Pelodiscus sinensis: one gene and its partners. Each later gene encodes a partner of the first gene's protein in a complex. Links are inferred from orthologs where the notes say so. Each region holds a gene or a part of one and is shown in the gene's direction. Other genes may lie near its edges.

Evidence for each region. The genes of interacting proteins can lie anywhere in the genome.
Region 2: TAF4 (region 1) and TAF13 share a complex: the UniProt entries of both Homo sapiens proteins name them as parts of the TFIID basal transcription factor complex. The link is inferred for Pelodiscus sinensis from reciprocal best matches to the Homo sapiens genes TAF4 and TAF13.
Region 3: TAF4 (region 1) and TAF3 share a complex: the UniProt entries of both Homo sapiens proteins name them as parts of the TFIID basal transcription factor complex. The link is inferred for Pelodiscus sinensis from reciprocal best matches to the Homo sapiens genes TAF4 and TAF3.

Annotation. Positions count from the first base shown.
Region 1 is NC_134728.1:9,457,293-9,465,124, forward strand, and holds the start of TAF4 (transcription initiation factor TFIID subunit 4), read left to right. Parts: upstream 1-4,813; 5' UTR 4,814-4,838; coding exon 4,839-5,154; intron 5,155-7,147; coding exon 7,148-7,832. UniProt on the Homo sapiens protein: The TFIID basal transcription factor complex plays a major role in the initiation of RNA polymerase II (Pol II)-dependent transcription.
Region 2 is NC_134711.1:148,145,163-148,152,694, reverse strand, and holds the start of TAF13 (transcription initiation factor TFIID subunit 13), read left to right. Parts: upstream 1-4,515; 5' UTR 4,516-4,598; coding exon 4,599-4,625; intron 4,626-6,366; coding exon 6,367-6,445; intron 6,446-6,822; coding exon 6,823-6,920; intron 6,921-7,532. UniProt on the Homo sapiens protein: The TFIID basal transcription factor complex plays a major role in the initiation of RNA polymerase II (Pol II)-dependent transcription.
Region 3 is NC_134711.1:9,754,372-9,761,282, forward strand, and holds the start of TAF3 (transcription initiation factor TFIID subunit 3), read left to right. Parts: upstream 1-3,894; 5' UTR 3,895-4,018; coding exon 4,019-4,184; intron 4,185-6,911. UniProt on the Homo sapiens protein: The TFIID basal transcription factor complex plays a major role in the initiation of RNA polymerase II (Pol II)-dependent transcription.

The DNA of each region.
Region 1 (7,832 bases):
ACTGAGCATCATGGTGCCTATTAGGCACTTAGAAAAAAATACATGACTAATACTGCTATCCACAAACCTGACTACATCAGGGGTGGGGATCCAGCCCCCAAGGCTTGCCCCATCCCATCAGTGGGTAGCCTGTGCTGACACTCCAACTCTCCCCCTACCCCCAATATCCCACCATGGGGCTGGAGCACACAAAATCTACTTGCCTGGGAGTCAGTGACGCCTGATGCAAAACAGGTTCCTCACTCCTGCTTTAGGTACACAGGGAGGGCTGGAACAATTTGTATAATGGCGTTGTTGAGAACCATTGAGCTAAACAGTAAACCCTGCATGTAATGGAAACCTTTTAAAGCCAAAGGGTGCTGTAGCACCTCTGCCCCTCTAGTTCCAGCAACAATGAGTGCACAGACACCTAAAAACAAGATCCACAAAAGCTATTCCACTGAGGAACTGCCTAAGTTAGGTAATGAGAGATGCTGACCAGAGAGGGGGTGTGCTCCTCTCTGGGAAGGGCATTAATTCCAGGCTGCAGGAGAAGCATCTGCTTAGCAATCCTCAAATGAGAATCTGTTGGTTGAAATAAATTGCTTCTTCAGAGGAGTTATGTGCTAGCTTTACTTTGCATATAATAGCTGGAGAGGGTGTACACATGCATTTCCCATTTTAACTTTTAGCCTAGTAGTTAGACCACTTGCATAGGCTGTTGGACATCCTAGTTCAAGTCCCTCCTTTTTGCCAGAGCTGGTCCAATACACATCACTAGGCTAAATATTCAGATGAGCAGTACCTCCTCCTATGGTTCGATTTTTGAATGGGAACCATTCTGGTTAACAGTCTCTGAGCATGTCTACTGAGGCCCTGGTGAACACCCTAAGCAAACGCTTATCTTCCCTTGCTTCATGAATCCTTTTAATGGTTAGCGAGGAAAGAAGCACACAGATGTCAAGAGGAAGACACCTCTGTGTAAGCCTACAGACACCAACACAGAGGCCTAAGGAACTTTTACTTTGAAAACTTAAGTGCTTACATGGTTTGACATTAATTTTGTGGGGTCAAAAACTTGGGCACCATATCTTTCATGTATCTGGACCCATGTGACCATAAACTAGGTTCTAAATGCCAGGACCAGCCCTGCCATCAGGTGAACTGAGGCAGTCACTTCAGGTGCCAGACTGTGCTGGGGGAAAGAGGGGGGGCAGCCCACACCACTAGGACCCAGAGGCTATGTCTATACTCAGCTTCTTGCATGAGAAATATGCAAATGAGGCTAAGCATGGAATATCATGGAATATCACTGAGCCTCATTTGTATACCTAATGAGCTGCCATTTTTGCAGAAGAAGCTCTTGCACCAGAAGGAGCTGTCTACACTGCCCCTTCTTGCACAAGAAAAACCATCTTGCACAATGCCATTGCACCATTTTCAGGAATAACAGCATTGTGCAAGAGGGTTTTTCTTGTGCAAGTAGGGGTAGTGTAGACAGCTCCTTCTGGCACAAGAGCCTCTTCTGCAAAATGTCAGCTCATTAGGTATGCAAATATGGCTCAGCAGTATTCCATGCAGCCTCATTTGCTTATTTCTCACACAAGAAGCTGCAAGTGTAGACATAGCCAGAGCATAGAAAACTGTGTCTGCTGCTGGTGCATATGTATTCTCTCTGCTCTAGATGCACAGAGACAGTAGAGTGCTGTGCTGGAGGGCACAAGAGACCTTTTTAAATTTTGGCCTAAGCAAGGGGGATGTGGGGCATCATTTGAGCTCCCCATCTAAGGTGCCAAAATGTTCTGGGCCAGCCCTGCTAAATACCTTAAAGTCATCATCAGCAGAAGAATGTAGAGTCCTGCTAACTCTTCATGCCCTTAAGATGTCATCTGCTCCTCCCTAGTTGCTGCCTGCCCATAATACTGCCAATTAGTGATTCCATCACTCCCTCTTGCTGTTTTAATTCTGCCTTTACTTAACCTCTTCTCCCTTACCCCCATTCTCCCTTCCATTGTTCACTTTCACTCTTTTCCATTATGTCCTCAACCTGAGGCTCTGCTGTTCCCAGCTAGGGAAAGGGGAAGAAAGAATAGCTTTTGGCTACCTTTGCTGCTCTAAGTCTTTGGAACCATCCTGGCAGCACCTGTAAACTACCCTCTATCCCACTTCAGGGATGTACTTGGACCTCTACTCAAGATTTCCTGTGTCTTTTTAGTTAACTGAATTGGAAATTATTAATGCTTGTAATGATAGAGGTATGCCTACCTACAGCAGCAGCAGAAGGTGCCATTGGCTGGTAGAAGAGGCACTTAAAGGAAAGCTCTCTGGCCACATCATTACTGGAATTGAGCAACAAGCCCTCAGAACACTTATTTTTAGGACACAACATTTGTTCTGTTCAATATTGATACGGATTAGAAATAGATCTTGGGAGATTTGTGAAGAAAGAGGTCCTTTCTTTACTCCTTTCAAGGTGACGTTATAGGTTATATCACTGAAAACAAGGATAGAAAATATATTATTCATTATAAAGGCTAATTAATTGACATGTTTGTCCAGGGGAATTCAGACATAGGGATTAATATATTGCAATGTCTAAAGCGACTCAAACATTGTGTAAGATATTAGAATGCTAATAGGGGTGCTTTGGAGGGAAGAATAAAAACCACAGCATGGAGAGATCTATCTATGAATGGGGCAAAATTGGCATCTCTTATTTTGGAAGACTTTATAACCATAAAGCAATGTATTCGTAGGAATCCAATACCTCTTAAGGAAAATATTAGCTGCAAACGTGTTGAGGAGCAAGGCAATTTTCTAATGTCTTCCCTTCACATGAATTTGGATAGCTGACTACCACTTTATAGACTGACCAGCTGACTTTTAGGGTGGGGCATTTGTGACTAAAATACACAAGGTTTTCTGCACTATTTTCCTTCTTACAACTCAACATTGCTTGAAAGACTCAATGTAACTGAAGTGATGGTTACATGGATTAGAACAGATGTAGAATGCAGAAACTAAAGATACCCTAATAAGTATAGTAGAATACTTTGTCTCTAGTCTAGTTGAAGTAAAGAAGCTTTGGAGGAAATGAATCACTCTGGGCTGCAAAAATGGAGACTTGTCAGTGACACTCATTAGGACCTGAAGGGCCACACACTGCTAAGTGATAACAAGCTACACAGGATCTTAGTCTGCTCCTACTGCAACAAACATTTCAACATTAAGTGCTAGCCAGCTCAAGTGACCAACAAAACAGAGGTAAGGCAAACTTATAATTTTAGATTTATAACGTTTAAACAAGTGGTTACAACCTTAACTTGCCTACTGTAGACCTTTACTTAGTGGTAGCATAAGAGTCACTGTACACTGCAGAAGAAATTTTCATCTTGCAATTAATGTTATTCTGGACTTTGAAGGTAGTGCTTAGTAAATAGTTTCACTATTAAAGGACAGGCTGCATTTTTACCATACCTGAACTTCCTTTCTTAAGATGACACAATGTTCAAGTTCAATTTCTATCTAGAATCTGTGTAAGATTAGTGATCAAGAAGCAGATTACTTGTATTGCTAAAGACTACTGTCTCCTCTAAGCACCTTTGGTTTTACAAACTAAATGGGTACTAACCTCTGTAGTACTGTTCAAAATGGAATTTAAGAAGAATGCATTTCTCTGGCGGTGATTTTGAATACAACAGTCCATTCTCTGTTAAACTGTAGCTGTTCTGGACTCAATGCTTTAATTTCCTCTGAAAGGCTGAAGTCGTGGACAAGATGTTTAGCAGTAGATATTCGGCTAAAATCTCCTCCCTCCTTCCATCCCGCCTTTCTGTTAAGCTTTCATTTCAGCTCAGCCACCTCCCATTTTTTCCCCAGGACTTTAATCCAAGCACCCCAATCCCCTCCCCCTTGTATACGCATTCACCGCGCTCATTTATTATAGCCTGTCTGGTGGCAGGGCCTGCCCACCCCCAGACCGCTGAGTCAGTTTCCTAAATTCACGTTCAGGGAAGCTCGACAGCACCTTGCCGTGCACACAGATTAGTGGCGCCTTCCCCTCCCGGATCTTCCCCCTGCAGCCTCCTTCGCTCTGTCCCAGGGAGCTCCCGCAGCCGCTCGGCGCGAGCCGAGAAAGGCGTTTGAAGTCCCCGCGGAGCAGCGGCACTCACTGCCCGCGGGCCACCGGACGCGGCGGGGGGAGGGTGGCTGCTTGTGTGGGGCGCCGCAGCACAGCCCCGCCAGCCGGCTCCTCGCCCTGCAGCTCGCTTTCCAACCCGGGAGACAAGGCTGCCCGGCCGGGGGCTCAGCCCCCTCCCGAGGCTGGGCGTGGGGCCTGCGGCCGCGTCTCCCCCCCCCCCCTTCCCGGTGGATCAGTTACACGCAGTTGGCACAGGTGTGGGGCGCCCTTCAGACTCGCTCTGGCGACACGGGCCAGACGCAGCGAGCAGCAGGGAGACATGCAGCCATCTTGAGCGCAGGCGGACAAAGAGCCGCCCGCCCCCGCCCGCGCACCCCTCGTCTCGCCCCGCGGCACGAACCAGCCTCACCGCCCTGCCCTCCCCCCGTCCAGCCGCCACCGTCCCCCCCCCCCCCACCACCTTCAGCCCCCGCTGCTCCTGCAGCTTCGCGTCCGGGCCGCCGCCGCCCGACTCCCAACTAAACCTTCGCAGCCATTTGCCCGGGCTTTTATAGGCGGCTGGCGGCCAATCACCAGCCAGCGGAATCCCTCTCCGGCCGGTGATGTGAGCCGGCTCCCGTGCGCCTGCGCCGTGAGAGGGCAGCGTGTGTGGGGGGGGCGGGAGGGAGGAGTGGAAGGGGGAGGAGGGAGCAGCTCACAGGAACCCTCCAAAAAAAAGATGGCGGCGGGCTCGGATCTGCTGGATGAGGTTTTCCTGAACACGGAGGTGGATGAGAAGGTGGTGAGCGACCTGGTGGGCTCCCTCGAGTCCCAGCTGGCGGCCTCCGGCCATCACCACCAGCACCACAAGGCGCAGGAGCCCCTCAGGACCGCTGGGGGGCTGCTGGGGAACCATGTTGTGAGCAGCAGTAGCAGCAGCAGCAGCCCTAGCCCTAGCCCTGGAGGAGTAGTAGTAGGAGGCAATGCTAATGTCCAAACAGAGAGCAGCAGCAGCAGCAAGATGGGACTCAGTGCCCCAGAGATCACAAAAGCAGGTAACCTGGGCCGGGGTGGGGGGCTCTCTGGGAAAGGGGCCTCCCCTCCCCCCACTCCCAAGCTCTGACTGCCTCCCTCCCTTACTGCTTTCCCCCCTTTTCCCTCTCTCCTCCTCGTTGTTGTGGCAAGAGCTGGAGTGCAAGGGGCGGTATAAATCATATTGGGGAGATACCCCCCCATACACCAGGCCCTTTAGTATATGTCTGACTGTGCCCCTCTTCCTCCTCGTTCCTGGGGTGTAGAGGAGGTGTTTCTTGCTATATAGGGGTACTGCACCCCCTTAAGAGAGCCATAAACAAGACACTGATGGGTTATCAGTCCCTTTTCTTTTTCTCCTGTTGTTGCTGGAGGGTAAACGGGTGCTATTAATCAGAGGAGTCAAGGAGGGGAACTAATGGGGGCAAACTACCCCTCTGATGATGATTTTTCCCTCAGTTTGTCTGAATATTCCTCTGCCTTCCCTGTTGCTGGTGTATGTTGATTGGTTTTATTGGGGGGATTCCCAATTAATAGGGCCTTCCAATTTCTGTTTGGGTGCTCCTTCCCTTCCCCCTTCTCTGTTGCTGAAGTGCAAAGGGGTGTTATTAATCATGACACCCATTTCCTGTATAGGAGGAAGTGAGGAGGGATTTCAAGGGGAAGAAGCCCCTAAAATGCCTCCCCCCTCATATCTGTCTGGGTATTCCCCATAACCCCTCTTGTATTAGGAGTTTGGAGGGGGTATTCAACACATTTCATTCCTCGTTCTCCCTCAAGGGGGTGTCATGGCAACATAAGGTCCTTGGATGGGGGGGACGGGACGACTGAGGGCACAATCCCTATCCTCCTCAGATGGGCTTCTCCATATGTTACCTGTGAATGTTTTCTGCTTGATGGAGGAGCTTTGTTTTAAGAGGATGATGTTAATCACAATATTAAGTCTCACTTTATGAGAGTGGGTGGGAGGTTGTTTTTAGGAAAGAGAAAAATATTCTTATCTGCCCAGTATCTATCTGTTTTATGTCCCCCCCCTACTATTTTCTGCTTCTTGTTGCTGAAATGTAAGAGGATGCTTATATTAATAATAGCAGATCGGTAATGAGGATTTTGCAGGAGGGTCCTCTTAGCTATTGAGACACTCATATTATAAGGGTTATCTGTGACAGCTCCCTTCTCATTTCTCTCTCCTTAATTCAGGACCTGGACTGCCAAGTCTGGTGTTAATTGTGATACCAGACCTCATTAAAATGGGATGAGGAGGTCTTAGAGTAGGAGGGCACATTGTAGTGTCCTCAGTGCCTGAGTCTGTTTTCTCCCCATATTTGTCTTTGATTGTGGGAGCTTGAGGAGCAGAATTACAACAGCACAGGCCCTGGTGTGAACAAAGTCCTCTTTTGGCAACTTTTTCTTTGTCACACTGACAGTTTTCATCCCCTATTTTTTACATTATTGTACTAGTTTAACTGCATGGAACTACTAGGTTCCTCTACAGGACATGAAAGAATTGGGGGGTAAAGTGTGCAAGGTGTAGAGGGCACAGGGAAGACTTTTTTTCCCCTCCCTCCGCATCTTTTAAAACATTTTTTCTCTAAATTCATTAACTGGAATGTAAAGGAAGTTGTTAAACGTAATGTCAGGCCCTGAAATGTGGGAGAGAAGAAAGTTTAGGATAAAGATGTATCCCAGCTCTTTTATTGTCCAGATCTGTCCTGTTGTATGTCTGTCTGTCCTCTTTTTCTTGTTATAGTTGGTTCAAGGGGTGGCTATATCTAATATCACTGCTGCCAGGTGTGAATATGGGGCATAGAAGGGCTTCATGGTAACCTCTCTACCCAGAAAAAGATAATTTGTATTTTCAGCCCATTTTTTTTCTTGTCTCATTCCAGACAGTATGGAGGACGTGGGGGCGAGGGGGTAAAGAAGAATTGGGAGGGTGGAGAAACACACTCCCTCTACCTTTTGTTTTCACCTCCTGCACATTCTCTCCATTGAACCTTCTTCTTGTTGTTTCAGGGGCTGGAGGAGTGCAAGGGGGTGTTATTAATCATAACACCAGGTCCCAGAGTTCAGCTCTGGATGGAGCCACTACAACCAGCACCACCACTGCTGCAGCAGCAGGAGGAGGCGGATCTGAAGCTGCTGCTGCTCCAGGGACCCTCAGTCAGGGCAAATCTGTGGTTATCAGTACAATGGCAACTGCCTTATCCACCAGGAATGGCAAAATTGGGACCACAACGGTGCAGACTTTGAATGGGAGTAATGTGGTGATGAACTCTCACCATTCGGGAAGTGCTACTTTCTCTGGGACTCCTGCAACTGCTAATCCTGCTGCTGCACCTACTGTTGCCCCTCTAGTTAACAATGGACCTGGATCTGTGGGGAAAGGAAATACAGTTAATGCTGTTTTGCCTTCAGCTTCTAACACTGTCATCCAGACTTCTTTCCTCAGCACCGCTGTGTCCTCCACCTCATCCCCATCCCCCACAGTAATCTCTTCACAGCCGTCACCAAGCATTGTAGGTGCGGGGCCTACTGTAGCACTGGTGAGACCACCAATTCACACAGCAGGACCCACGGTTGCTGCAGCTGCTGCAGCCACTCAGAATGGGAGCAATACTGTGATCAATTCAGCCATCAGTGTGGGTGTAGGGAGTTTTCCTGCTGTTGCTGCAGTCACTGTGGGCTCTGGAGTTTCCCT
Region 2 (7,532 bases), on another chromosome or scaffold:
AGCCAGTTATGCACCCTCCTTATAGTAGCCCCATCTAAGTTGTATTTGCCTAGTTTATTGATAAGACTATCATGCGAGACCATATCAAACTTTACCTTACTAAAGTCTAGGTATACCACATCCACGCTTCTCCCTTATCCACAAGACTCATTATCCTATCAAAGAAAGCTATCAGATTGGTTTGACATTATTTGTTCTTTACAAATCCATTCATCATAACAATGAATCTCTTCACACCAAGGCCACAAGAAATAACCACAACCTTCCTCCTCTCAGTTACATCAGCATAAGTGTACTTTGTGATTAGTAGCACATACATTGCTTGAGGTATATGTAAGCTGGTTCTGCTTGTGTCCTGAACTCTAAGGGGAAACAGGGAGGCCTCACCACTGGAAGATGAGCTCTGTTTCATCTTGTTTAAGCTGCAAGACAAAGCACTGTCAGCCAAGAAACCTACAAAAGGAAAACAGAAAATACTGATTTTACAGGTCAGACAGAACAGCTAATGGAGTACCCAGTTGGGAGAATGAACCTAATCCAGAAATAGGAATGGAGGAAACAACAGCATAGTGGGTGCTAAATAAGTCCCCCATATGAATTGGTCTCCATCTCTGAGATTCTTCAGTTTGGGCTTGCGAAAATGACTCTCTGACTGAGCCCAGTTTTGGTTTGTTTAAATCTTTTTACAGACTGACAGAAACATGGCCCATCACATCCACCCTTTATCAAGACCCTTTCTCCCCCAAACCTCACACATCCCTTGGTCCTTTCCTTCAATAAAAACATACCCATTTTTAAAAATTTTTAAGTGGGGGACCATTCCTAAAACCAGATTTCACCCCACAATCCCCTATTTCCTGGTAGAGAAGAAAAGTTCTTGTCTCCAAAAAGGCTGAATTAAGAAAGAGGCTTTAGGGGCTGCAGCCCTGGGTTAAGGGGGCCTTGCAAAAAGATCTCCAGGCTGCCACAAATGCAGATCTTTTTGCAGGGTCATCTTGGCCTGGGCTACAGCCACTAAAAGCCCGTGTTCTATCCCTGCCTGGCAGGGGATGCGGGTTGGGACAGTGGATGTAGCTCTGCACGCTGCCTTTCTTCCTCCTGTTCTCTCTGGGCTGGAGTTGTAAATGCCAGATAGCTCCATCTGTGTGCTTCCCTCATCTGCAGGCTCTGCCGCTCAAACTTCCATTGGAGAGGAATTGCAGGGCAGCATGCAGAGCCACCTGCCCCCTCCCATCTTCAGGGTATGCACTTCCAAAGGGGAACAGGCCCAGGAAGGTGCCCCACACCCCAATTCACCTGCCCCAGACCTGAGCCCCTTCCTATACCCTAACTCCCTTATAGATCCTGTACCCCTACCGCTTGCTCTGAGCCCCCTCCTGCATTCCAAACCACTTAGCCCTAGCTTGGAGCCCGCTACTACACCCCAAAAGCCTCATCCTCAGCTCTACCTGAGCCCAAAACCACATTCAGAGTCCTGACCCCTCCCCCATGCTGAGCCCCTCATTTTTAGCCCCTCCCCAGAGCCTAGGGGCCTCTCAGGAGACTTAATCTGGGCTTGGTCCCTGATACTCCTCAGGAGGCACCTGCTCTCTTTCTACCGCCAAATGTGCAGCAAAGGACACAATTCACAGCATTCTTTAACCAGCCAAAGAAACACCTGTGTAATTGCACCAGCAAAAATAAAGTACCCAGCCCCAGGAGAACAGGCATCCCATTAAAAGCATTCAGCTCTCCAGCACGGGACCAGATAGGAACCAGAACATAATGCAATAGCTTCATTACAATAGAGTGGCAGCATCTGTAAAACATGGCTTTAAAAGTTTGGTCTCCTTCACCCACTCCCCTTTACGGAGAGCAGAAGAAAAGTTCTGGGGTATCAAATCCATCCCCCCAGCTGAAGTGCTATGCCCATGAGAGCCCCTAGAAGGGAAGGGTTCTTCCCTAGAGCTGAGGCTGTCCATGACAGAACCCCTCACGACCCAAGAACAGCTCCGTTTTGGGGTGGGAAGATTCCAGGGGACATTTATATGGCACCCCCTTTACAACCTCTGAGCGCCACTGAAGGAGTCAGTCTGCAGGGCAGAGGTGTAGCCAGCTCATTTTTGACACCTCATTAATACGTATAAGCAATCATTAATATGTATGATTTGCTATGAATATGTAGTAGCTGTTAGGCATGTTAATATAGAAGTTTCTAGGAGTGTTGCACATGGCACGCAAGTAGCTGCACATGTCACACTGTGCTGCTGCATGCAGCACACTGATCCAGGCTGTTACAACTTGTTTATCAAAGCACCCAATCAGGGACCCTTGTTTTCCTGTGCAGGGTCCAATGATTTTAAAGATAAAGATCATGAATATTTATGAGAAGGGTGCTTTGAAGGCCTGGCTAACAGTTGTGTGTGTTCGTTCGCGCCTCCCTTGTTCCTGCTTGTCTCCTGTCTGTTTATGTCAGTCTATAGTTAGTTAGGGTTAGCTAGATTTTATCGAGTGTGTCCGTTAGGATTAGTGCGTTGGTTCACTGCACCAGCGGCCGGGTACTTGTCCGTGACGGGAGCGTCGTGTTAGCTAGTCAGGTTTTGTTTCCAGGTGTTAGGGATAGGTAGCTGTCTATCATCGGTTCCTGCTGAAGCGCAGAAGCCACCTGAAGATCAGCACCAGGCAAGTCTCCACCAGTGATTCCTGCATCTAGGAGCGCAAGGCCCCAGACAAGGATCATCACCACCTGCCTGCACCACACCCATCCCCAGGGTCTCCGAGGGATCGCCTCTCTGTTCCTCACTGAGGGCTCGGAAGGAGCCTAAGGCTTGAGGTCGAGAGCATCGTAGAGGGTCACCACTGCGAGGGATCTCCTCGTCTTTCACCAGAGGCTTTAAATTATCAAAGGTTTGAGAGACAGGAGCTTCTCACCCACTGTCAACTACTGGACTGTGTAATTATTGTATTTTGTGTAACCTTGTGTTTGTGGGGTACTTTTCTATTGTGAAAGTAGAAAGAATTATACTGTAAGAAAAATATGAATTGTGCTGTAATAATTGAATAAGTTGAAGGAATTCTGTTTGTCTTTTTAAGAGGAAGAAGAAAAGTATGTTAATGTTGATTGTAGGTATGCAGATCAAGGTGCTAGCCAATTTGGGCCTGAGTTTAACAGGAAAAGAAACATTAGGTGTTAGACAGGAAACAATTCCAGATAATCAGGGAGATATAGCCAGGAGATTGCTGTGTGCTTAATATTGAAATGAAGAGTACTTGAGTAGCCTCACACTAATTATGTGAAGTTTTGCCCCCCTTTTAATCCTGTTAATTTTGGCTTTCTTTTGACTGTATAAATCAAGAGGTTTGAACCTTGTATGGCACTCACATTTTCTCCATGCATTTTAGCAAAGCTTTGCTGAAATAAACAGAGCAGTCTGCCAAATCTGTGAGTCCTGTCTGACTTTGACACTATCTTCTTTCCTTCTTGAGGTTGGGATAAAAAGTGTTTACCTGCTTTTCCTTGTGCTTTTAAAACTTTTACAATATATGGTTTGGCCCTTTTAAAGAGCAATGTTTTTGTTTACTGTGGCATTCTTGGGTCAGCAAACACCTATGATAGATGAGGTTTGGTGGTATCTGCAACTTCCACTGAGGCTTAATTAATAATCAGATGCAAATGTAGGTACAAGCTTTCCTCAGTGCAACAGAGGGCTGCATTCCCCAGAGGCAATGTTCCCTCTATTTTGTTCCACCAGTGCAGAATTAATGTTGTTATGTACACCAAGTCATTGTAAAGATGTGCACCGCCCATAAAAACACACGCTGCCAGCTGTGGGTGCTCTGCTAGTCAGCTGGGCAGCGTTTGAATCTTTACTGGGCAGCCACCCAGCTTACAGGGAAGACTGCCCAGAGGATGGGAGTTATCCCCCTCCCCACCACTAAACACCAGGCGCATTAGGGGGCTGGGTCCTACTCCCTCCTGCCTGGGCCACAGAGGTTCCCCAGCAGCCCCTCTCCCAAATCCCTGCCCGTTGTACGGGCCTGCGGTGCCCGGGCTGCAGGGATATTCCTAGCCAGGAAGGCTCTCTCCCCCAGCCCCGCTTGCCCCCCTGCGGATCCCCCCCCCCCCATAAGTATCACAGCGGAGCGAGAGCAGTTTCCTGAGGCCAGCTCGCTCCACCCAGCTGCAGGCAAGTCGCTCTGGCTCCTGGGCAGGGGAAGCGGGGGGGATGTGTGTGTCTCCCAGCGCAGCCCGGAGGAGCTGCAGGGGAAGTGCCTGCGGGCAGCAGCCAGCTGAGATAACGCCCCCCCCCCCCTTGGGGAGCTGCTGCTAGGGGGGGGTGCCCCAGGTAAGCCCCCCCTCCTCACAGCTGTTCCCCCACATCCCTCCTCCCCCCCCCCCCCGCTGCACCCCCACTCCCTGCTGCAGGGGGGACAGGCACCGCCACGCGCTGCGCACACCTGCCCGCCGCGGCCGCAGAGACCAGCACCCAGTCGGGCGAGCGGGGCGGGGTGTTGGAAGCAGCGGGCGGGGGCGAGTCTGGTGCCGTACAACAAGATGGCGGCGCCCACAGCTCAGGCTGAGGTGGGCGGGGCTTGGGGAGCGAGGTGCCGCTGCGAGCATGGCCGACGAGGAGGAGGACCCGCCGGTGAGTGCAGCTGCCAGCCCCCGGCGGGGGGGGGGAACCCCTGTGCCCCAACCCCTTCCTGCCAGGGGAAAAGTCTCAGCCTCCCGTTCCCCCCCCCCCTTTTGGTGCTGTGGTCCCTTCCGGCCTCAGCCCCTCCCCCAGCGTTTCCCTCCACGCGCAGGGGCTGCAGCAGCGGCCCAGGCAGGGCAGGCCCCGAGCCGCCTCGCGCCTCCTGCCTCGCGCCTGCAGGCAGCCCCGCTGAGCTGCCAGGGCTACTGGAGGAACAACGCGCTGTGGGGGGGGGGCGCCCTGCGGCACAGGCCCGGCAACAGTTTTTGACCTGGAGCCGCTTCAGAAATGTTTGAATTGGCCTTGGGCTGCCCTGAAAGGGGCGGAGCCTCTGGTGCAAGGGGCGGGGCCAGGACACTTCCCTGCTTCCCTGGACACACACCCTGATTGTTGTGTTGGGGGGGGGGGGGGTGAAGTCTTTGTCCCCAGAGCCCCCCATCCCCAATCATCAACTGTTCAGAACAGTTGGTGGTTCCCTTTAGGAGCCCACCACCTGGTGGTTGGAGGAGACTGTGCACTCCCCCCTCCCCCTTTCCTCCAAGTTAGTTGGGGGGGGGGGAGTGCGTGCACAAAGCCTCCTCCCGCCCTGTCCTGCAAGGGGTGTACAAGGCTTAAAGTCAACTGCCAGCTGCTCAGAGGCAGCAGCAGAAGTTGGGGCGGGTGGGAGGCAGTGCTTGCAGGGTGCTGGCTACTTCCCTCCTTCCCAGCTCCCTGTGTAAACATGTAACTGCTGAAAATGTCAAAGGTTACACGTTTACAAAAGAAAACACATTTTAACATTCTTTCTCCATGGCTGTGTCTAAACTGGCCACTTTTTCCGGAAAAGCAATCGCTTTTCCGGAAAAACTTGCCAGCTGTCTACACTGGCTGCTTGAATTTCTGCAAAAGCACTGATGATCTCTGGCTGCTTGAATTTCTGCAAAAACACTGATGATCTCATGTAAGATTGTCAGTGCTTTTGCGGAAATACTATGCTGCTCCCGTTTGGGCAAAAGTCTTTTTCAGAAAAACTTTTGCGCAAAAGGGCCAGTGTAGACAGCACGGTACTATTTTCCGCAAAAAAGCCCCGATCGCGAAAATGGCCATTGGGGCTTTTTTTGCAGAAAAGCGCGTCTAGATTGGCAGGACGCTTTTCCGCAAATCTAGACGCGCTTTTCCAAAAATGCCTTTAACGGAAAACTTTTCTGTTAAAAGCATTTCTGGAAAATCATGCCAGTGTAGACGTCGTCCATGTGTTTATTTAGGGCTTGGTTCAGGATGTCAAATTTGGGAATTAATTGCAGTCTGTTTTTGAAGGTTTTTTTTGTTTGTTTGTTTGGTTTTTTTTGGCCAGAGAATAGCAATGTGCAAGTCTGAAACTGCATGATATTTATGACATAATTTAGGAGTTGGCAACACTGGAAATACTTTTTCTTGTATCAGCTTTCTCTGGGCCAGGTACAAGCTTTTGAGTTTCATGGAGAGCTCTTCTTCAGGGCTTAAGTACAAATAGTTTACACACTGAAATGGAATCCATAATTAGGCACAGACATATTCCCCACAGTCACATTGGGGGTATGGAGTGGAGTGGGAGATCCCTGTGGGGAGATTGAAATATAGGGAGCTGGGCTTAGGCTTGGCTGTGTCACTAATTGGGCTTGTCAGCTATGCTTATATGTCTGAGTTCCCTCTCTGGTATTCTGCACCACCCTAGTTTGAAGAGGACACTGAAGAAGCTGGAGGAGGCCCAGATGGTGGACAGGGCAAGAGGAAGAGGCTGTTCTCCAAAGAGTGTGAGTTTGCCATCCATGTGTCTGGGTCAGTAAGGAGGTGGACCCTCACCTTAGGCTCTCGGACAACTGCATTTGGCTTCGCTTCTATGGAGGTTATAGTCTATTTTAAATGAGGATATGACTGTAAATCACAATAAGACAGTAAAAGTGACAGACCACAGGAGTTCTGTGAGAGTCTTACACTGGAGTGGATGGGAGAGCTTTCTGAAGTCCATTTATTGGGTCCAAGGCAAAGCAGATGCGATAATGACTGCCAGTGGATCGATTGATGTGATGGAGATGAGCCCTTAGTTTGGTTGAAGAATTTAGTGCATGTTGCTAAGTGTCCTGTATAATGGGGAGCTCTTTCAATGATACCATGTTTTCTGTTTCCCCAGTAAGATGTATGATGTATGGGTTTGGAGATGACCAGAATCCCTACACAGAGTCAGTGGATATTCTTGAAGACCTGGTGATAGAGTTTATCACAGAGATGGTAGGTTCTATTAAGACATCTGCTTACTTTGTTTCTAGACTGTAATGACTATAGAGATCAGTCCATTTAAAAAGAACTCCTAATTGGACAATGGTTAGGAAAGTCCTTCCAGTGGAAGGGACTGAGTTAGTTTTTTAAAGAACCCAAAAGTAGGGTTGGTTTATTTCCCTTAAAAAGCAAAATAAAAAAGTAATGAAGTTTAAACCATTAATAAAGGTCGTCTCGTGCCTGTCTGGTTAAATATCTAATTTGCATTCTGGTGGTCACTAACCCTTCATCCTTCCAAGGTTGATAATCTAGTCTATTCAACACTGTGTAAAACATTTCTATATGGTACTTGTAAAGGGAAACAGTGTCCTGCATGCTCTGCGTGGACTTTAGATTCCATTTCTATTGTAATAGAAGATTCATCTTGTGGTCCTTAGCCAAGGATTCCTGAATTCCATTTTTAACAGAACTATGTAATTCCTCTTCTGGGGTAGAGGAGTTTTATGTACTGTTCTGTTTAATTTCATCTGCTTTCTAAGTACTACCTCTGGAAATGGGACACAGAAAGGGATCATGTTCTCTCCCTCTGGGGCAACTAGTATTGGCCACTGTCGGCAGGCAGGA
Region 3 (6,911 bases), on another chromosome or scaffold:
GAGTCCCTAACCCAATGGGCTTACAGTCTAAGTCCTCAATCCATTTACACTCAAGTGTAACTTTACTCATGAATAGTTAGCTCCTTTCTTTTTTTTCCCTCCCTAAAACCACTAGCTAATTGCCTGTTCCTTGCCCCTGACATAAGTTAGTTTAGATGTAAATACTTTCAAACTACAATCTAAAAGAAGAGTTTAGAAATCATTTGCTGCACTTGGATGAAGGGGGCAGGTGCAGCTGCTTAAATGGTTGGAAATCAATTTCAGGAGTATTCTGATAGATATTAGAGCATCACCTATCCTGTCTTTTTTCAAATACAGTAGGGTTTATGGGTAGGAAGAGATTTTTTGACTCCACAAATCTTAATATGAAAATGTTGCCACTATCCTACCTGTTCCAGTGCAGGAATTTATAAGGAAACTAAAACCAATGTTTTGCTTGTTTGTAACGATTCTATTGCACTACATTTATTACAAACATATACAATAATTAACTTTAAGAATCTTAATTATTCTGCAAGGTTGTGACATGATCAAATGTCTTTTGCTGTTCTGAAGGTTGTTTTACTCAAACCTAGTGATCAAAAATTTCCACTCTATTTTCTCTAGAAAGTGCCTACAAAGTTACACCTTAGTAAGATGAAAAATGGAAGTAGTCACTGGTCTGGTATTAGGTTGGTCCTTGCAATCCATTCTCAGTTAATGTATTCAGTTGGATTGCCTAGGATTCTAACCTGGCCCATTCTATTTCCCCTAACCACACATCCTGCTGACTCAAAACTTTGGTAGACAAACTGCCCTTGGTCAACAAATAAGGAAAATGAAAGAGTCCTCACTGATGTTTAACTGTAGAATGCTCTGAGAATTTACAGAATTTTAAAATGTTTGGTGCAGAATTACCCCAGGAGTGTTGGGTCAACCCAGTGACTGTACAGACACTGTGTCACTCACATTGACTAGTGCTGCCTTTCAGAAACCATCCCTCAATGCTCCACAGTGGCAGTTAAATGAGTGCAAGGACTCAAGCTGAAGATGCACGCAATGTAGGGGTGGATGTGTAAAACCACTTTAATTACTTGGTGGCTATATGTGGATGTAACAAAGGTCAGCTTAATTTTGTAGTGTAGAACCCATGTCCTAGTCAAATGCCATCCTGAATAACTGTTTGCTCTACATGCAATTCACTGTGCACCCTCTGTAGATGGAGATCAGCAACATGCACAGAAATGGGAAGGTTTTGAAGTACAAGGAACTTAGTGAGAAGTTGCCTAAGGCCAGGGTCTGGGATTGCTTCTTGAGTTTGATATTTTGGAGGAAAGGCCACTTCCTGGGTTAGACAGAAGTGCTGGCAGAAAAGCAGAGTGGATGGGGATCTGCTGCAAAGATGACTGTTACTGTAGCATGGAAGAGAAACTAAAAGTTATAAAGTATCCAGGAGAAGAATAGAAGACTAAAAAACAATAGAGAGAGACTGTTACAAGTAGCCCTCTCCTCACTTCAAGAGACACCAGACCCTCCCTTTCAGAAAAGGCACACATGTCAGAAATAGAGTGAATTTATAAAGGAATGGGGAGAAAATGGGCTTTTCTACAAAACCCTTTCCAGATTTCAGCATATAATGGGGCTCCTACCACTTTGGTGAAAGTTGAGTCAAGCCTAGCACATCTGTCACTGCATCTTCCCAATATTTGATCTAAAATGTATTCTTTATTTTGGCCCCTAACTCTTATGTACCACATAAAGGCCCCAGGCCTTCAAATTGAGCATGGGGCTTTGCTGCAAAGAAGGCTGGTGCAATTTTAAACTATATACTCAGTTACAGAGTACCGCATATCTTTGGTTACCTGTTAATCTCGCATTACATTCCAGAAAGCACACCACAACCATAATACAGTAAATATTCTGTTATATGCCACTTAATTAACTGGAAAGCTCAACTGGCATTTCTAATATCTGCTAACAAAAATATTCAGTCTAGTAACAGACTAGTATATGGCCACGCCCAGCACATTATGCAACCGCATATTCTACACTCTACTTTTATGCCAAAAAAGGCAGAAGACAAATAAGTAAGCTGATGCAGTTTCTAGGGCATGTCATTACCAGTTCAGCTCAATCTCCTACACTTTCTACAAACATCTACAATGATAATTGATATTGATGACCCTGAGGCACTACAAGATCCTGAAGTGCCTGCTGAATCATTGAAGATTAAATTACATTTTGTAGAGTTTTATATTAAGTGTATTTTTAATGAACTGGGATGTATGTCATGACCTGCCAATTGTCGTGTAGTGACACAAAATAACTTTCCCTGCATACACCTAAGTGCTTCAAGGAACCAACCACTCTGCAGTGCAATACATCAGGCTTGGTGAGTACCTGAATACTATTATACTTTATTCATTTTATTGTTTTCTAGTTCTTTGAAAAGTGGTATTCCATAGATAAAATAGAACTGTTTGTTAAACAGAATATTCAATTAACCAGCACCCTCCATTCCACCAGTATGCTGATAACAGAGCTTTTACTGTATTGTCAAACGGGGGGAGCATTCAAAGAATAGTAATAAAAATGACCAGAGGGCTTAATCTGAAAGGGGAAAAAATTAAAGGAAGGAGAGAAGGGACATAACAGAGAACCCCACTGAGTGCTGAATGAAGGGGAGGGAAGTCAAATCTTTTTTTCAGGAAAAGTTGGATTTGACAAACTATTTTTTTCTGAAAATGCATATGCTTTCCAAAGAATTTTTAAGTTTTTTAAAATAAAAATAGTATTTTTATTCTGAAATGCCTACAGTCTGCCTTACAAAAATTATAGTTCAAGTTCCCTGTGCTCCCCTTCTCCATAGGCCAGGCTCTGCATCTGAACATTTCCTAGGCCACCTCTTTCCAAGAGATCATAGGAGATGTACCCTGATGCATGAGCCCCAAAGAGACTGGGATTGCAAAGCATCTGATCTGTAACCCCCTCAGACACAACAACAGCATTTCTTAATCAAAGTGTTTCATATGTTTGAAGGGAGGGGGTAGCAGAAAAATTAAACCACTTGCTCTATTGCCCATAAGACAAATATAAACAAACCCCAAATGCCTCCCTTTTAAAAAAAGGCCATGCTTTTGGGGTCCAGACTAAAGACTTTTTAACCCTTAGGATTGCTACTACAGCTCCTCATACCATGCTGATACTGCACTGACTAACATCCCTCTTCTGCAGGCTTCTCTTACCACAAACTTGCACAAAGTTTCTCTGTGCATTGTCTTCTCTAGTTTGCATCAGTTTCTAGCAGGGCTGCAGGTCCCTCTTCACTCCCCTGTCACTGTCTGATCCTTACCAAACAGAGCACTGCAAATCTGGACGAAGATACTTGCGGCTCACTTTTGCAGATAGGGAGGCGGACACCCAGTTTTGTTTGTAGGACCCTGCAAATTTGAGGATATCCACTTTATATCCCCTGGTACTGTTTGCAGATGCAGGTACCAATGGTGTAGCCGGGCAGGGCTCTACCCATAGAGGTACAGAAGGGTAGCCGAGTTACTCTGTAGTTGAAGTTTTTCCAGTAACAACTAGTCTTGCAGCCCCTTAAAGACTATCAAAACACGTGGATGGTAGCATGAGCTTTCGTGGGCACGCACAACCCACCTCTTCCAACAAAGGTAGCAGCTGGTATTTTCCCAGTTGAGTCTCAGGCTGTTAATTCCCCTCCCCCTAATACTTTCCCGTGCGCCCGTTTTCCCCCTGCGCCTTCCCCTACTCTCCCTGGGTCTCTGTCTACCAGCTGAGCGATCCCCCCGCCCCGCCTGCACAGCCAGGCCGGCTCGGCCCCGCTGGAGGCCAGAGCAATCGATCGGCCGCCCGCCCCATCGACGCGCTCGGGGGTGGAGCGGCGCGGCCTGCCTGCTCCCGGCCGGCCGGGAGGCGCGACCCCAAGATGGCGGCGTTGGCGGCAGCGGGCGCCAGGGCCTGCGCGTGAGGGGGGCCATGGCGGGCTCCGGGCCCGGGCCGCGCTGAGCCGGCCGGGATGTGCGAGAGCTACTCGCGGTGTCTGCTGCGGGTGTCGGTGGCTCAGGTCTGCCAGGCGCTGGGCTGGGACTCGGTGCAGATCTCGGCCTGCGACCTCCTCACCGACGTGCTGCAGCGCTACCTGCAGGGGCTGGGCCGGGGCTGCCACCGCTACTGCGAGCTCTGTGAGTGCCGGGCCGGGGGCCGCCTCTGGCATTGCGGGGGAGGGGAGCGGGGGGCTGAGTCAGTGCGGGGCGGGGCCTCCCCTGCCGGGGCAGCCTGACCCTGCCACAGCAGAGGGGATGGGAGCCATGGAGACGGGGGCCAGGGCTGCCACTGCCCGTTCTGTGAGTGCAGGAGTGGGGGAGCCATGGAGATGGGGGCCGGGGCTGCCACTGCCCGTTCTGTGAGTGCAGGAGTGGGGGAGCCATGGAGACGGGGGCCGGGGCTGCCACTGCCCACTCTGTGAGTGCAGGAGTGGGGGAGCCATGGAGACGGGGGCCGGGGCTGCCACTGCCCATTCTGTGAGTGCAGGAGTGGGGGAGCCATGGAGATGGGGGGCCGGGACTGCCACTGCCCGCTCTGTGAGTGCAGGAGTGGGGGAGCCATGGAGATGGGGGGCCGGGGCTGCCACTGCTCACTCTGTGAGTGCAGGAGTGGGGGAGCCATGGAGATGGGGGGCCGGGGCTGCCACTGCCCACTCTGTGAGTGCAGGAGTGGGGGAGCCATGGAGATGGGGGGCCGGGGCTGCCACTGCCCACTCTGTGAGTGGGGGAGCCATGGAGACGGGGGCCAGGGCTGCCACTGCCCATTCTGTGAGTGCAGGAGTGGGGGAGCCATGGAGACGGGGGGCCGGGGCTGCCACTGCCCATTCTGTGAGTGCAGGAGTGGGGGAGCCATGGAGACGGGGGGCCGGGGCTGCCACTGCCCATTCTGTGAGTGCAGGAGTGGGGGAGCCATGGAGACGGGGGCCGGGGCTGCCACTGCCCACTCTGTGAGTGCAGGAGTGGGGGAGCCATGGAGATGGGGGGCCGGGGCTGCCACTGCCCACTCTGTGAGTGGGGGAGCCATGGAGACGGGGGCCAGGGCTGCCACTGCCCATACTGTGAGTGCAGGAGTGGGGGAGCCATGGAGATGGGGGGCTGGGGCTGCCACTGCCCATTCTGTGAGTGCAGGAGTGGGGGAGCCATGGAGACGGGGAGCCATGGAGACGGGGGCCGGGGCTGCCACTGCCCATTCTGTGAGTGGAGGAGTGGGGGAGCTATGGAGACGGAGGGCTGGGGCTGCCACTGCCCATTCTGTGAGTGCAGGAGTGGGGGAGCCATGGATGGAGGGGGCGGTGTCTGCTACTGTAAGCTCAGTGATTGCAGGGAAGAACATGGACGGGGTCTTGCTGGTCCAGGGCTGCTGGTGGCTTCACTGTGAGTGTTGGGTACGGGGCGAGTTGTGGGGACGGGGATGTAACTGCCTGCTCTGTGAGTGTAGAGGTAGCCAGACACAGTGGGACTACTGTTGCACATTCTGTGAGTGTAGCGAGGCTGAAGCTGTCACTGCCAGCTGAGTGCTGAGGACATTGTGAGAATTGGGGTTGGGCAAGAGCAACCACCCTGGTGAGTTCTGTGTATGCGAGGTTAGTGCAGGGTGAGGGATGGACCTTAACAAAGATGCTAATTACCTTAACCATTACAAAGATAGCTTCCTCACTTATCACCCCTGATTAACCATTCATCGACTCATAAATAGCTATTCCGTCCTTCCCTCTCCCTCACCCCACCTTCTGTACTAAATCTGATTTGTCAGTTTAATAATGTGTTCACTTTTTTCATTTTATTCCTTTGATATATATGGCCATGCCAATTCTCTTCCAGAATATGATCTGAGGAAGCATGGCTGTCATACATGACTGCTCTCTCTGAACATGGGGAGTCAAGGGGAATGGTGGGTCAGTTCGGGCTCTGGGAGTGTCACTGTAGTGTAAGCTCAGGGAGAGCTTCTGGGAGGCACAGTTGTAGTGGAGTCTGCAGAGGTGAGTAAAGATCCATGGTCACTTGGGGGCTGACAGTGCTAATGGGAGTTGAGGAGTGGGGGCATCACTGCTGCTTTGACTCCAGGGTCCATTGGGATTAGAGGGCTGAGACGCCAGGGATGACAACCTCCCTATAAACTGTAAACCCAGAAGGATGGGGGGGTATGTGGATATTGTCATGCTCTGAGGGTTTTTCTTGTTTGCCACCAAAAGTTCTCAGATTAAAAAAACAGAGGAGCCTTGGGACCATATGTTTTTTGGCTACCTTCAGGGGTTGGACTGAGCCTACCAATAGTCATGAGAAAAACTTTAGGTTCTTTTTTAGGAGGGAAAGGGAAGCGAGAGTGCATAGGGTGGTACCCATATGTATCACCAATGCAGGGATTTTACAAGTGCCACAATCATACCTCTAAGTTTCGCATATAAATGCTAAGATGAATGGTGCTGTATAAACATGTATAATAATTGTAAGGTAGAATCTAGGAGATCAGGGAGCATCCGACTGTGGAATAAAAGAGAGGACTTAGTTACCCACCTGAAGTTGGGTTGGACTTATTGTCAGTAGTCTGATCCATGTGAACTTGGTGTGAAGCAGATGTATTATGGGGGACAATATCTTTACACATGGACCAGAGTTGCCACTGTGAGAGTGCTGAGAAGCTTGAAAACAGAATTACCTTCCAGGGCTTAGCCTATATTTCCATAGCCACCTTGAGATTTGTGAGGCCGGGGGAGGGCTATATAATTAGGAGTTGGAGGCACTGTAATCTACCTTCTTATTTCAGCTGCATAAGGGGTGTGAAGCATTTACTGCGACTTGGGAACAGGGCATATTTTCTTGATGAATGTATGGAGGGGAAGGGAGCATTGTTTCTTCATTACAGAG